Nothobranchius furzeri: one gene and its partner. The protein of the gene in region 1 binds, or shares a complex with, the protein of each later gene. Links are inferred from orthologs where the notes say so. Each region holds a gene or a part of one and is shown on either strand. Other genes may lie near its edges.

Evidence for each region.
Region 2: the proteins of claspin (region 1) and chek1 are in contact, whole or in part, in a crystal structure (PDB 7AKO), measured with the Homo sapiens proteins. The link is inferred for Nothobranchius furzeri from reciprocal best matches to the Homo sapiens genes CLSPN and CHEK1. Residues at the interface, in NP_071394.2 of Homo sapiens: Glu938, Leu940, Leu941, Leu943, Cys944, Ser945, Gly946; in NP_001107593.1 of Homo sapiens: Lys53, Lys54, Cys57, Met61, Arg129, Thr153, Val154, Phe155, Arg156, Tyr157, Asn158, Arg160, Glu161, Arg162.

The regions. Positions count from the first base shown.
Region 1 is NC_091759.1:26,764,279-26,770,038, reverse strand, and holds the end of claspin, read right to left. Parts: intron 4,747-5,760; coding exon 4,269-4,746; intron 4,192-4,268; coding exon 4,158-4,191; intron 4,088-4,157; coding exon 3,907-4,087; intron 3,379-3,906; coding exon 3,326-3,378; intron 3,227-3,325; coding exon 3,062-3,226; intron 2,681-3,061; coding exon 2,559-2,680; intron 2,465-2,558; coding exon 2,334-2,464; intron 2,265-2,333; coding exon 2,153-2,264; intron 2,072-2,152; coding exon 1,992-2,071; intron 1,921-1,991; coding exon 1,759-1,920; intron 1,532-1,758; coding exon 1,424-1,531; 3' UTR 1,289-1,423; downstream 1-1,288.
Region 2 is NC_091750.1:44,931,463-44,937,166, forward strand, and holds the start of chek1 (serine/threonine-protein kinase Chk1), read right to left. Parts: upstream 3,319-5,704; 5' UTR 3,222-3,318; coding exon 3,165-3,221; intron 3,003-3,164; exon of another isoform or gene 2,999-3,002; coding exon of another isoform or gene 2,978-2,998; coding exon 2,934-2,977; intron 2,276-2,933; coding exon 2,161-2,275; intron 1,439-2,160; coding exon 1,330-1,438; intron 1,199-1,329; coding exon 1,134-1,198; intron 1,065-1,133; coding exon 995-1,064; intron 914-994; coding exon 725-913; intron 1-724. UniProt on the Homo sapiens protein: Serine/threonine-protein kinase which is required for checkpoint-mediated cell cycle arrest and activation of DNA repair in response to the presence of DNA damage or unreplicated DNA.

The sequences.
Region 1 (5,760 bases):
TAGCAAAACAATAAGTTCACACTCAGAAAATCAACACAGTTTCTGATCCAGCAGAGGCAACAACAGCCTGAATGAGCATAAAGCAAGATCAACACTTAAGATAACGTTTTCATTTTATTAAAATACTTTCTTTTAAGATTATAGGTTTTATTAAATTTATACTGTAATAATTTAGGCTGCGTGTTTATGGTTTATTTTAGCGTCTTTAAATCATGCTTCAGTCCATTCACATGAATCTATTTCTGCTTGAATGTCTTTCCACCATCATGTGATTAATTTGTCAACATTTATAAATGCTGTAAGCTATTGTATTTAGCAGAAAATATTTGTAATTAAAGTAGTGATTAAATGTAAACACAGCAAATAAGAGACACATTTTTGCTGTTTACATAGTTTGATGACACCTAGTGGTTATTTACTGGTACTACCGCCTTGACAATGGCACTCCCACTCGATGAGGATCATTTATTAGCATTTAATACAGCTGTGTAATGACGTATGAATTATTAATATCAAAACATTGTCTGATATGTTTAACATGCAACACATGACTTATTCTGGCACACAAACAACTAACTGGTAACCAAACACTAGGCTGTGTAACATGTGAACGAACTTTTATCAGTACCTTTGTTAAGTTTCAGATTTCACTGGGGGTGGGGGGGGGGGGGGGAATGCAGCCTGCCTAGTGTAGTCCATTTATTTAATCCAGCTCGGTGTAAAGCACTTTGGGGGGTTCCATGACTAGCAGGTGCTACATCATTTACCGTGTGTGTGTGTGTGTGTAGATGGATGTAAGGGTGTGTGTGTGTGTGTGTAGATGGATGTAAGGGTGTGTGTAGATGCATCCATCTACACACACCCTTACATCCATCTACACACACACACACACACACCCACACCCTTACATCCATCTACACACACACACACACACACCTCTGATTCTGAATGTAACCATCAGCTGGGGGGGGGGGGGGCCTCCTCCTCCTAATGAGACAGAAACAGCTCACCCGTCATTCACCACTGGGAGACTAGTTAGTCGGGTTAACAGCTGAACGGGTCTCCTGGGTGGAGCAGGTGCTTTACTGATCCCCCCCCCCCCCCCCCCCCCCCGAGCATGAACGTATTAAAAATTCACCAAAGCATCAGCAGAAAAACTAAATATTCACTTTATTTAGGGAATGAATGTAAAACATTTAGAATCAGGTTACATCTGACCAGGTCCTGGTCCAGGTCCACACCCAGACCCACACCCCGGTCCAGGTCCCGGTCCAGACCCGGACCCATCAGTCTTCATGCCTCCAAATATTCTTTATGTACACGATGAGCAGGAATTTCCCCGCCAGTGTTTCCAGGATCAGCTGGAGAACACCTTGGAGTTCATCCTGAGACGCTGATCCAGGACCAGCAGGACCAGCTCCTCTCAGTGGTCCAAGAAGCTGAAGATGCTCCTCTGGGAGCTCTCGGTCTCTCTGCAGATCCTCTTGGCTGATGGACTCGCCACCTCTGCCTGACTCCGCCTCTTCATCACCTGAAGACCAAACATTCAGAGCAGTTTTTACTTCCTGCAGCTCTGGTTCTGGTTCTGGTGCAGGTAGCGGACCAGGAGCGCCCCCTGCAGGAGCAGAGGAGCTCTTCGCTAACGTGTGTGACTGGGTCCTCCTGAATGTTCTGCTGGGTTTCCTGTTTGGCTCTAGAACCTTCAGGGACATTCCAGTAGGGACGGACCACGCCCTTTATGACATCACCACGACTCACCTGTTTCTGCGGTGCGTTCGACGGCTGGCCCACCTTCTCAGGTGAGAGCGTCTGAAACAGGAAGCCCCGGCTGTTCCTGGGCGCCAGCAAGTTCCCGTCGGAGATGGAGGCCAGCTTCTGGAGGACGGCCTGAGGCTGGCTCAGGAGAGAACCCCTCCTCACCTGGAACAGAGCCACAGTCAGAACCTTCTGCAGCCCAGGGTAGACCTCTAAACGCCACACCTGAGACGCACCTGTGGGGGCCCAGAGGGTCTCTGGAAAGGATTCAGAGCCGAGGTGGACTTTTGTTCTGGTTGTGGTCCTGCAGGAGGTTCTGGTTCCAGCAGGTAGACAGTTCAGTTAGCAACCCGGGCTAATCCGGACCACGCTAATGAAACACCTGAGGGTGACACACCTGTTCTCTGCAGGGTTCTGGCCGTTAGCTTCTGGGCTAGCTTCATGAAGCGACTGTCTTCGCCTCCCAACTCCTCGTCCTCGTCCCGCCCTTTCCTGCTTTCCTGCTCCGACTGACAGGAAGCAGACAAACAAATGAAGACGGAACAAACACCGACGGGATCCTTCCCGGCGGGAATCACCTGCTCTCGGAGCCACTGCTCTCTCTCCAGCCGGTCCTTCCTCCTCTGAACCTCGCTCACGTCTACGTCCTCCTCTTCGTCCCCGTCCTCGTTCCCGCCGGGGCCCGCCCCGTCCCCGCCGAAGACATCGTCTGGGTGAGAGGGAAAACCCGATCAGCTATCACGCCGAAGGTCAGAATCTGGACGGGACCCGCCGACGCCGGCGCTCTTCCTGGATCGGCTCACCGATGTTTCTCCAGCGGAAGCGGCGAGCTCGGCCCGGGCCATCGGAGTGCAAGTCCCCGTCGGCCAGGTACTGCTCCTGGTACAGCCGCAGGCGCCGCTTGTCATCATCCAAGAGCTGCTTCCTGTGGAACGGAACCCCAAAGAACCATAGGAACCTTCTAGAACCTTATGGGCCATTCCCATCAGTACCGGGTCGGCCCGGGCCGGGTAGCCCCAGTTGGCCCCAGCCTGGCCCGGTTGATTCCACACATCCTTGCCTTAAGCCCATGTGGGCTGATTCTAGCCACCAATCAGAGGCTTGCTCTAATGGAAGGTGTGAATTTGCTGTCAGCAGTGGGTGTGTTGGCCCTGGTCGGCCTGAAGCAGACCCCCTCCAGAAGAGGGCTGAGAATGAGCCTTGGTTGGCCCGGAACAATACCAGGCCACCCAGATATGTAACAACCTACGCTACCCGGCCCGGGCCGACCCGGTACCGATGGGAATGGCCCACTAGAGGCACTCACATGTGGATCTTGTTGACTTGGTTCTGCAGCTCCTCATCAGAGGGAAGTTCTTCCAGAAGCTCCTCCTCCTCATACTCACTCCCACCACCATCATCATCCTCATCATCACTGCCCAGGTCGCTGCCTGACAGCTCCGCCTCTGAATCCACGTAGTCCATCAGCGTTCTGCAAAGGAACCAGAACCGGACCCGGAGAGACCAGCTTCAGAACCAGGAAGTTCCAACGACAACTTCCTGTTTAAATTACGCTTAAGAGACGTTTTACATTTTCTTCTTCTTCTGGAGTCGATGTGTGAAAACCACCTGCTCCTCTTCCTCCTGCACACACACACACACGCATAAACACACGTGCACACACACACACACACACACACACACACACGCATAAACACACGTGCACACACACACACACACACGCATAAACACACGTGCACACACACACACACACACGCATAAACACACGCGCGCGCACACACACACACACACACACACGCATAAACACACGTGCACACACACACACACACACGCATAAACACACGTGCACACACACACACACACACGCATAAACACACGCGCGCGCACACACACACACACACACACACGCATAAACACACGTGCACACACACACACACACACGCATAAACACACGTGCACACACACACACACACACGCATAAACACACGCGCGCACACGCATAAACACACGCGCGCGCACACACACACGCACACACACACACACGCATAAACACACGCGCGCACACGCATAAACACACGCGCGCGCACACACGCACACACACACGTTTCAGGATCTGACTCCAGATCAGCAGGATGGTTTAGATTATTTTACCTTCTCACTCTCTACGTCTGACAGAAGGTGGAACTCGCAGTCGTCCTCCTCCTGCTCCTGCTCCTCCTCCTCCTGCTGCTCCTGCTCCTGCTCCTCCTCCTCCTGCTCCTCCTCCTGCTCCTCCTCCTCCTGCTCCTGCTCCTCCTGCTCCTCCTCCTCCTGCTCCTCCTCCGTTTTTGTCCTTTCAAAATAAAAACACAGTCAGCACTGCACCGCCGCCGGTTTGGACGGGAACGATAAAGATGCCGAACCTGTTCTCAGCTGACGAAGTCGTCGGAACCGAATCTGAAACAAAAGGATAAAAGTAATAAATAATCTCTGTAGCTCCGCCCCCTCCTGCCAACCACTCCGGTACTTCCTACCAGCTTCGGTGAATTCTCCAGAACCCAGACCCATCAGCTGATCCGTGGTACCGTGGAGTTCCTCACGCCGCCCCTCCTGGGTCTGTGGGAAGGCTCCGGAGCACAATCCCAGCAGCTCGTCCTGCTGCGTAGTCCCACGGTGCTGGTCCTCATCGAACCCCCCCGAGCACAGCCCCAGCAGCTCCCCCATGTTGGCGTCCATGGCGTTCTCATCCAGGCTGTCCAGGACCAGCTTCCTCTTGTGGGACCGCGGTGCTCCGGGTCGAGGACCCACGTTTAGGAAGCCGTCTGCGTCTAAGAGCTGGGAGTGGGCGTCGTCCTCCAGGGAGAAGCGTCCCTGCGAGTCTCCGCCCAGACCGGGACCAGAAGCTGCTCCTCCCATGGGTCCAGAGTCGGCTCCGGGGGACGGGGGGGCGTACAGATCCTGGGAGTCCTCCACCGGGAGGCACAGGGACGGTTCTGAGAGTCGGCCAGAGCTCTGAGCAAAACCAAGAGGAACACTGATGTTATCAGGAAGCACGTTTCTGGTGATGGACACGTCTCCAAGTCCACATCTGTGGACGTCTTCACTTCCACTTCCTACATGAAATCCCTTCAGACCCATCAGGTGTGTCACCCAGACCTGCCAAACACACGTGTGGCGCTTCTTCTCCGTGATGTCCACATCCTCTAGCAGGAAACATCTGGATGCATTAAACAGTAAAAGTCGCGTGAGCTTTACGCGCCGATGGTTACTTTCATAGGAATATTTCACTGCCTGATGTATGGAAATGGTTGGAGAACGTAACGATGAACCCGAGCACACCACCGGGGCGGACTCATGCAGGTTCTGGTGGCTCGTGTCAGCACAACTGCACGGTGAGGTAGTTTAGAGGGTCGCAAGCATGGCCACCATTTTTAAATCACACGGTTTTACTGGTTCATTTGGCTAATTGTTGTATTTATTCATTCTTCCTGTTTGTTTTTGTTTGTTTTGTACAAAACTGGATGGGTTCTTTTTCAAGTTTCCAACATGGAAAGCTTCATCCCTCCTCCTGCTTCTTTATCTGCTCTCATTACACAACCATGTATGTGATGGGCGACCGTATAACTGTTAACTAAACATAACCGGTTACCAACTCCATAACCCTAACCCCTACTGGAGGTTTCACACTCAGCGGCTGTCTGGGTTCAGCTGCTGCAGAACCACCTGGTTCAGGTCTGAAGAGCCCAGTCAGCCGGTTCTGATAGTTTTATCTTGCTAACAGATAAATGTTCACACCTGTGAGGTGATCCATGAGCAGGGTTGGCACCCATCACTACAACTACTGAATTAGCTCCAGTCTCAAATGCTGATGTGCACAAACCAATGTTTCAGTGCAGTTCTGTGGTGAGGGCAGAGGGCAGAGGGCTAGGGTTAACCCCAGCCCTAGCCAGGTTGTAGTGAGCACGCTCGTTTTACCGCTGGCGCGCTGCAGACAGGTGGAGAACCGGGCTTCAACACCAGAACCGA
Region 2 (5,704 bases), on another chromosome or scaffold:
GATTCTGACAGAAATCCATAAAACTGAGCAGAATGTCCAACAACATCACCCTTTCTGTGCCGAGTTGTGTTTCTGTGTAACATACAGATCACTTTGCACCTATGAGGGGTGCAAGCACACTCTGTCATAGAGCTGGCATGGAAACACTCAGGTGAGCCGACTTAACCCACACTGTACAGAGCTGTTTTAGGCTGAGTAGTGGTGTCCTTCGAACACTAGTTTTATTGTTGACAGTTTCAGTACCTTCCAGAATGAGCCATTTTAGGACTCTGTCACTTTAAGAAAACAAGCAGTTGCTGGTCACACCCACCCACCCCCCACTCAGGTTGCTATAAGCTGAGAAGCTCTGACAGCCAGAAGATGCTCGGAGTAGAGCCCTGCACCCCTGGTAGCAGCTCTTTAGCACGTGAGAGACAGTTTACTTCTACTTTCCCCATTTGTGACATCACAAACAGGGACTTTCTGAAACGGCTTGTTTTAGGCACATAAAACCTAAAAACCACACGAACAGAAAACAGATGGATGGATTTTTTTTCCATGTTTGGAGAGTTTACAGAGCCAGTCGAGACCCACATGGTAGCACAAAAGTTCGATTTTGCATAATATGTCGCCTTTAAGTTATTAATTCAAATTATGAAAGTATAGAGCATTGATCGGGATGATTAGTCTGTTACACTAAAACCCCCTGAAAGACAGCGGGTGCCTGGACCGTGTGGGATCTCACCTCCAGCTAGCATGGCCGTCAGGACGATGCCACAAGCCCAGATGTCTGCAGGCTGAGCACTATACTCTGATTGGCTGAGAAGTTCTGGAGCAACGTAGGGAAGAGTCCCACAGAGTCGGTTCAGCTGGCGCTCACGTCCTTTGAACCGAAACATGGTGGCTAGGCCAAAATCAGTCAGCTTTAAGTTGTCTAAAGGTTAGAAGATAAAAAAAAATGATGCATGGTTATGAGAAATCATTAAAAAAAAACTGTGGCACTCTATTTGCCCACCTTTGTCATCCAGCAAAATGTTTTCGGGCTTTATGTCTCTGTGGGTGATGCCAAGGCTGTGGAGGTACTCCTGAGAAGAAGCAAATAAAAGAATAAAAAAAGAGCCCGAATCAGGCAAACAACACAAACATTCACCCACCACAGCTGACATTAGCTGCTGGAAAAACCTGTGAGCATCCCTCTCTGGCATTCCCACATCAGGCTCTAAAACACCAGAAAGACAAGAACTCGAGTTAGGCAGGAACTAGTTAAGATAATAAACTGATCTGCACTTCACAGACACCAACAGTCTGCTGCAAAAATACAGTTTTATCAGAGAGCCCGCAGTGTTTTACCGATCCGGTCAAACAGCTCTCCTCCGGTGCAGTACTCCAGAAACAGATAAACAGTCGCTCCTTCTTTCCGATGCCCAAAAAACTTCACAATGTTGGGATGGTTGAGCATCTGACAAAGAACAAGGTTGTATTTTTAATCACTGATTAGGGCTGCACGATATTAGGAAAACATGCAATGTCCGATAGTGATTAATATTGCGATGATGATATTACTTGCAATAAATAATAACTTAACTCAGGAACTAAAATAATAAAAAAAAATATATATATAAATAAATTTTAAAAATGACAAAAAATTTCTTCAAAATGACAAAAGCAAAAGATGTGAAGAAAAGACAATCAGTGGAACCCGGGAAAAGCAGAATCAGCAAAAAGAGCAGAAAAAAGCTAACTTAAGGTGTTTGCTAACCATCAAAATTAAGTGCCGTCCGCCTCGGGGGCGGGCATCTAACCTATGAGAACCCATCCAATTGGCCAAATGGGTGAAAAGCTGTTTTATTTGTTAAAAAAACATCACACTTCCGTTTGATTGACAGAACGCATTATGTGTAGCAAACATTTGACCCGGACCCGAATAAGCGGAGGAAGATGAAGACGAAACATTTGAGCTGACCATTCATTGCAATATTTATCTGTTCTTTGCGATATGCATATTGCACATGCTGATATCGCGATAACGATATATTTACGATATATTGTGCGGCCCTATCACTGATTTCAAACGTTGAACCAGCACACTTTGTTTATTTCTAAAATCAGAACAGAAGTGTTTGACTTAAAAATCCTCAGAAGAAGGTAAATGTGTTTTCTGCAGCTCAGTAAGACAGGTACCTTATGGACGCAGACCTCCTTTTTCACGTTGTCTGCACACTCTTTAGACTGAGAGGTATCGACGACTTTCACTGCCACTGCCTCTTCAGTGTGTCTGTTCACCAGCAGCCTCACTCTGAAAGAGCATGGTTCAGAACAAAAAGAGAAATAAATCAGAATTTCTATAAGAAAGAAAATAGAACAGACTTTTGGAGTAAAACAAAAACTAGAAACGCACCGGAACCGGACAAATGTCAGCCTGATTAGCTAAACTGGTGATTGACCAACCCAAAACTCTACTTTTCGGATGAGTGAACGCAATAGAAATGACTGGTCCATGAACTCACCATCAGCCCTTTTCTTTAAGATCAGTAAATGCCGCAGATATCGGCCTACAAAATCACAACCGGTGCACATCTGATAAAGGTGATGTTTTTTTTTTTTCCTATTTTTACTTCACCCTGTGTCTTAATGATTTTTAGCTGTTATTTTTGGGAATTTTGTTGTATTTCCTTTTTATCTTTTATCTGTGTTCGACATGTTTATATAACGCCTGTTTAATTAACCAACATTTTTAGTGTACAGCGCCTTGTTTGGTTGTAATGCCTTGTGAATGCGCTTTATAAATAAAATTGGATTGGATGGTGTGAATTACAACGTGCATTTAACCAGAACTTAATTATTAAACAAAAGTAGCTTGAGTAAAGAAAAACGCAGCTCGACTTTAACCTGCATTAAGGTTTGGTGCAGCATTTAGCCCAGCAGCTACTGAACTATATATATGATGTTCTTACTCTCCATATGCTCCTTCTCCCAGAGTCTGAACGAGGTCCCAGTCCTGGACAAAAGGCACCGCCATGATGCTTCAGTAAACACAAAACACACAACACGTATGTAACGTGTATAAAAAAAACTCATCATTAAAGACAAACAGCGCCAAACTTTAACGTTTGCAGGATGTGAAGCAGCGCTAATGTCACGATGCCTCCATATCTGTTCAGCGATGATTCATGTGACTGTCTTACCTCCACCGCCTTTTCCCTGAGCTGCGTTTCCCACATGTGACGAGTCACAAAACACATTTATTCTAACTCCGCCATGGATGTGCATCTGTGATAAAGGGGCACAAATTTGGCGCCTTGTTGTTTTACCGGAGACATTGCGTCATTTCCTCTTTTTCTTCTACGCTTTTGCAGGAAACCTACAGCAAGCGCACACTTCCGCCCCCCTCTGGTGAAATAGTACACAGCACCCAATCATCCACCTGGTTCTCCCTGAGCTGTTCAAAGATTAATGAATGAAAGCCGCTGCTGCCTGCACACAAAGGACTGTAGGTCAAAGCATACTCAGCACAGGACATGCAGATATACATTTTACAGACCACACTTGCATTGTAGGACGTTTTTATCTGCCATGTAGAATAAAATATGCCGCTATAATACCCATTCTGTTGTGCACATTGTCCATGAATTGTCGTATGAATTTCAAAAGTGTGATATGGCGCAACTTTGCACCATTTGTTTATTTATTGTTTGTGACATCACAAACAGGGACTTTTTGAAACAGCTTGTTTTAGGAACATAATTCCTAAAACCAAACACTGACAGTAAATGGATGGAGTGTGATTTTCCAACCTTCTGTTTGAGAAACTGAACAGAAAAATTCTTTGCTAAATCCTGGAGGAATAGAGATCTAGACCGATCCTTTGTGAGTGGATAATTTTTTTGGGAAAAGGGCTCAAAAATGTGTTCAGTCCATGAAATGAAATGTGTTGTTTTTGACAGCTATTATCTAAAAATCTAAGTGTGTAAAATATGTATCAGACGGATGAGCTGTTACCAGGCGTGTCCAGTAGAGAGAGTGAGAGAAAGCATCTCAGAGTTGGAAACCTCAACATCATACATCTGTGTTAAATGTAGATCAGCCACAAGAGACACAAAGATGATATGATGCGCGGTTGAAAACATCCAAGCACCAAACTGAGACAATATCAGTAAAGGATATACTTTTTCTTTCAGTGACTAACCTCTTATTATACATATGAGATTAATCTTCCAGGTGATCAAGAAGAAAATTTACGTAATTACCTGCTTAGCTCATGTAGAATGAGAAGAAAAACAATCGAGATTCCAGTTTGGTTCTTTCTAGTGTTTCATCAATAAATAACTCAACATGTCAACAAAGCTCAAGTGTTTGAGGGTGTGTTAGTGACATTGAGAGGTGGAATGTTATGAAGTGGTTACTTTTAATAAAATTTCAACTAAATATAAAAGTATTCAATAAAAATATGGATTAGCAATGTTATTGAACCTTTAATATTTGATTGATGATGAAACTAGGTACTTTGGATATGCCAGGGAACCAAAACCTTATAATAATTTGACACAGAGGCAAAAATGTAGTTTATAAAAATCTATTTATTACTATATTTCTAATACTAGGATGACGCAGGAGAAATGATTATAAATGGTGATATAACCCTTCCACTGTCTTTACGGGTGACCCCGCGAGGGAAGTTGACTATTGAGCAGGGTTGATGGTTTATCCCTTGAGGTCCATGTAGCAGGGGTGAGGTGGTGCTCACTAGAGCCCTGCACGGAAGCCCTAGGCCCTCGGGTCAGCCCGGCCCGACGGCCCTCAGGCCAGGCTTCGGGCCAACGACTGTGTAATTACCTCGGACACGGGCCGTGCGCCTTTATTTTTAATTGAATTCATTAAAAAAATTGGAACACTTAAACCAGGGGTCGGCAACCTGTTCCCATCAAAGAGCCATTATTACCCGTTTCCCACAGTAAAGAAAACAGTGGGAGCCACAGCAGCAGCGGCGTTGTGGGCGGGGCCTACCCTCAGACAGCAGAGAGCTGCTCACAACAGGTGACAGCAGCCGGTACCGGTCGCTCGTGTACGTCAAAGTTATCTTTCATAAGACGATAATCAATAAAACGATTTATATAAAATGGATCCAGAAGTTGTAGCCCGTCTCTGCCTACAATATTTTGATATTTTTCACCCTGTTGATGGTTTTACTGAGCAGGTGCCACTTTTGTCATGCGTTTCTTTTTAAAACATGTTTAGACTGTTCAGAATACAAATCCAGGCTCTGTCACGTTTGATTGTTGTAATTAAACTTTGTAGGTGGGGAAGGTCAGAAAAGGATCCGATCATTTTGTTTTTCCCTCATTTACAGCGACGGAGATAACGGCGCAGTGCGCCCGGCTCTGGTGTTAATCAAGTTAAATTATATTTCTTTGCAACAATTTTCACAAGAAAACAGAACAGTTAAAAGCAGGGCTTGTGTTGTGTTGACCGGACAGTTCCCGTATTTGACCATTTATTTTGACGGCGAAAGAATAGAAAGAATTACCCCGACGCATGCAGGCGAACTGACATTTTATTCTACGCACATCGCAGATGTAGCTAAATCACCCAAGAAAAGATTCCCATCTGAACATCTGAGCTGGACACTGCTCAACGCAGCTCACTGTCAGCGTGTACGTACGGTCCACAGCGAGCTGAAGATGTGGAGAGGGGCTTGGAGCACGTCGCAGAACCAGAGCGCATGAGG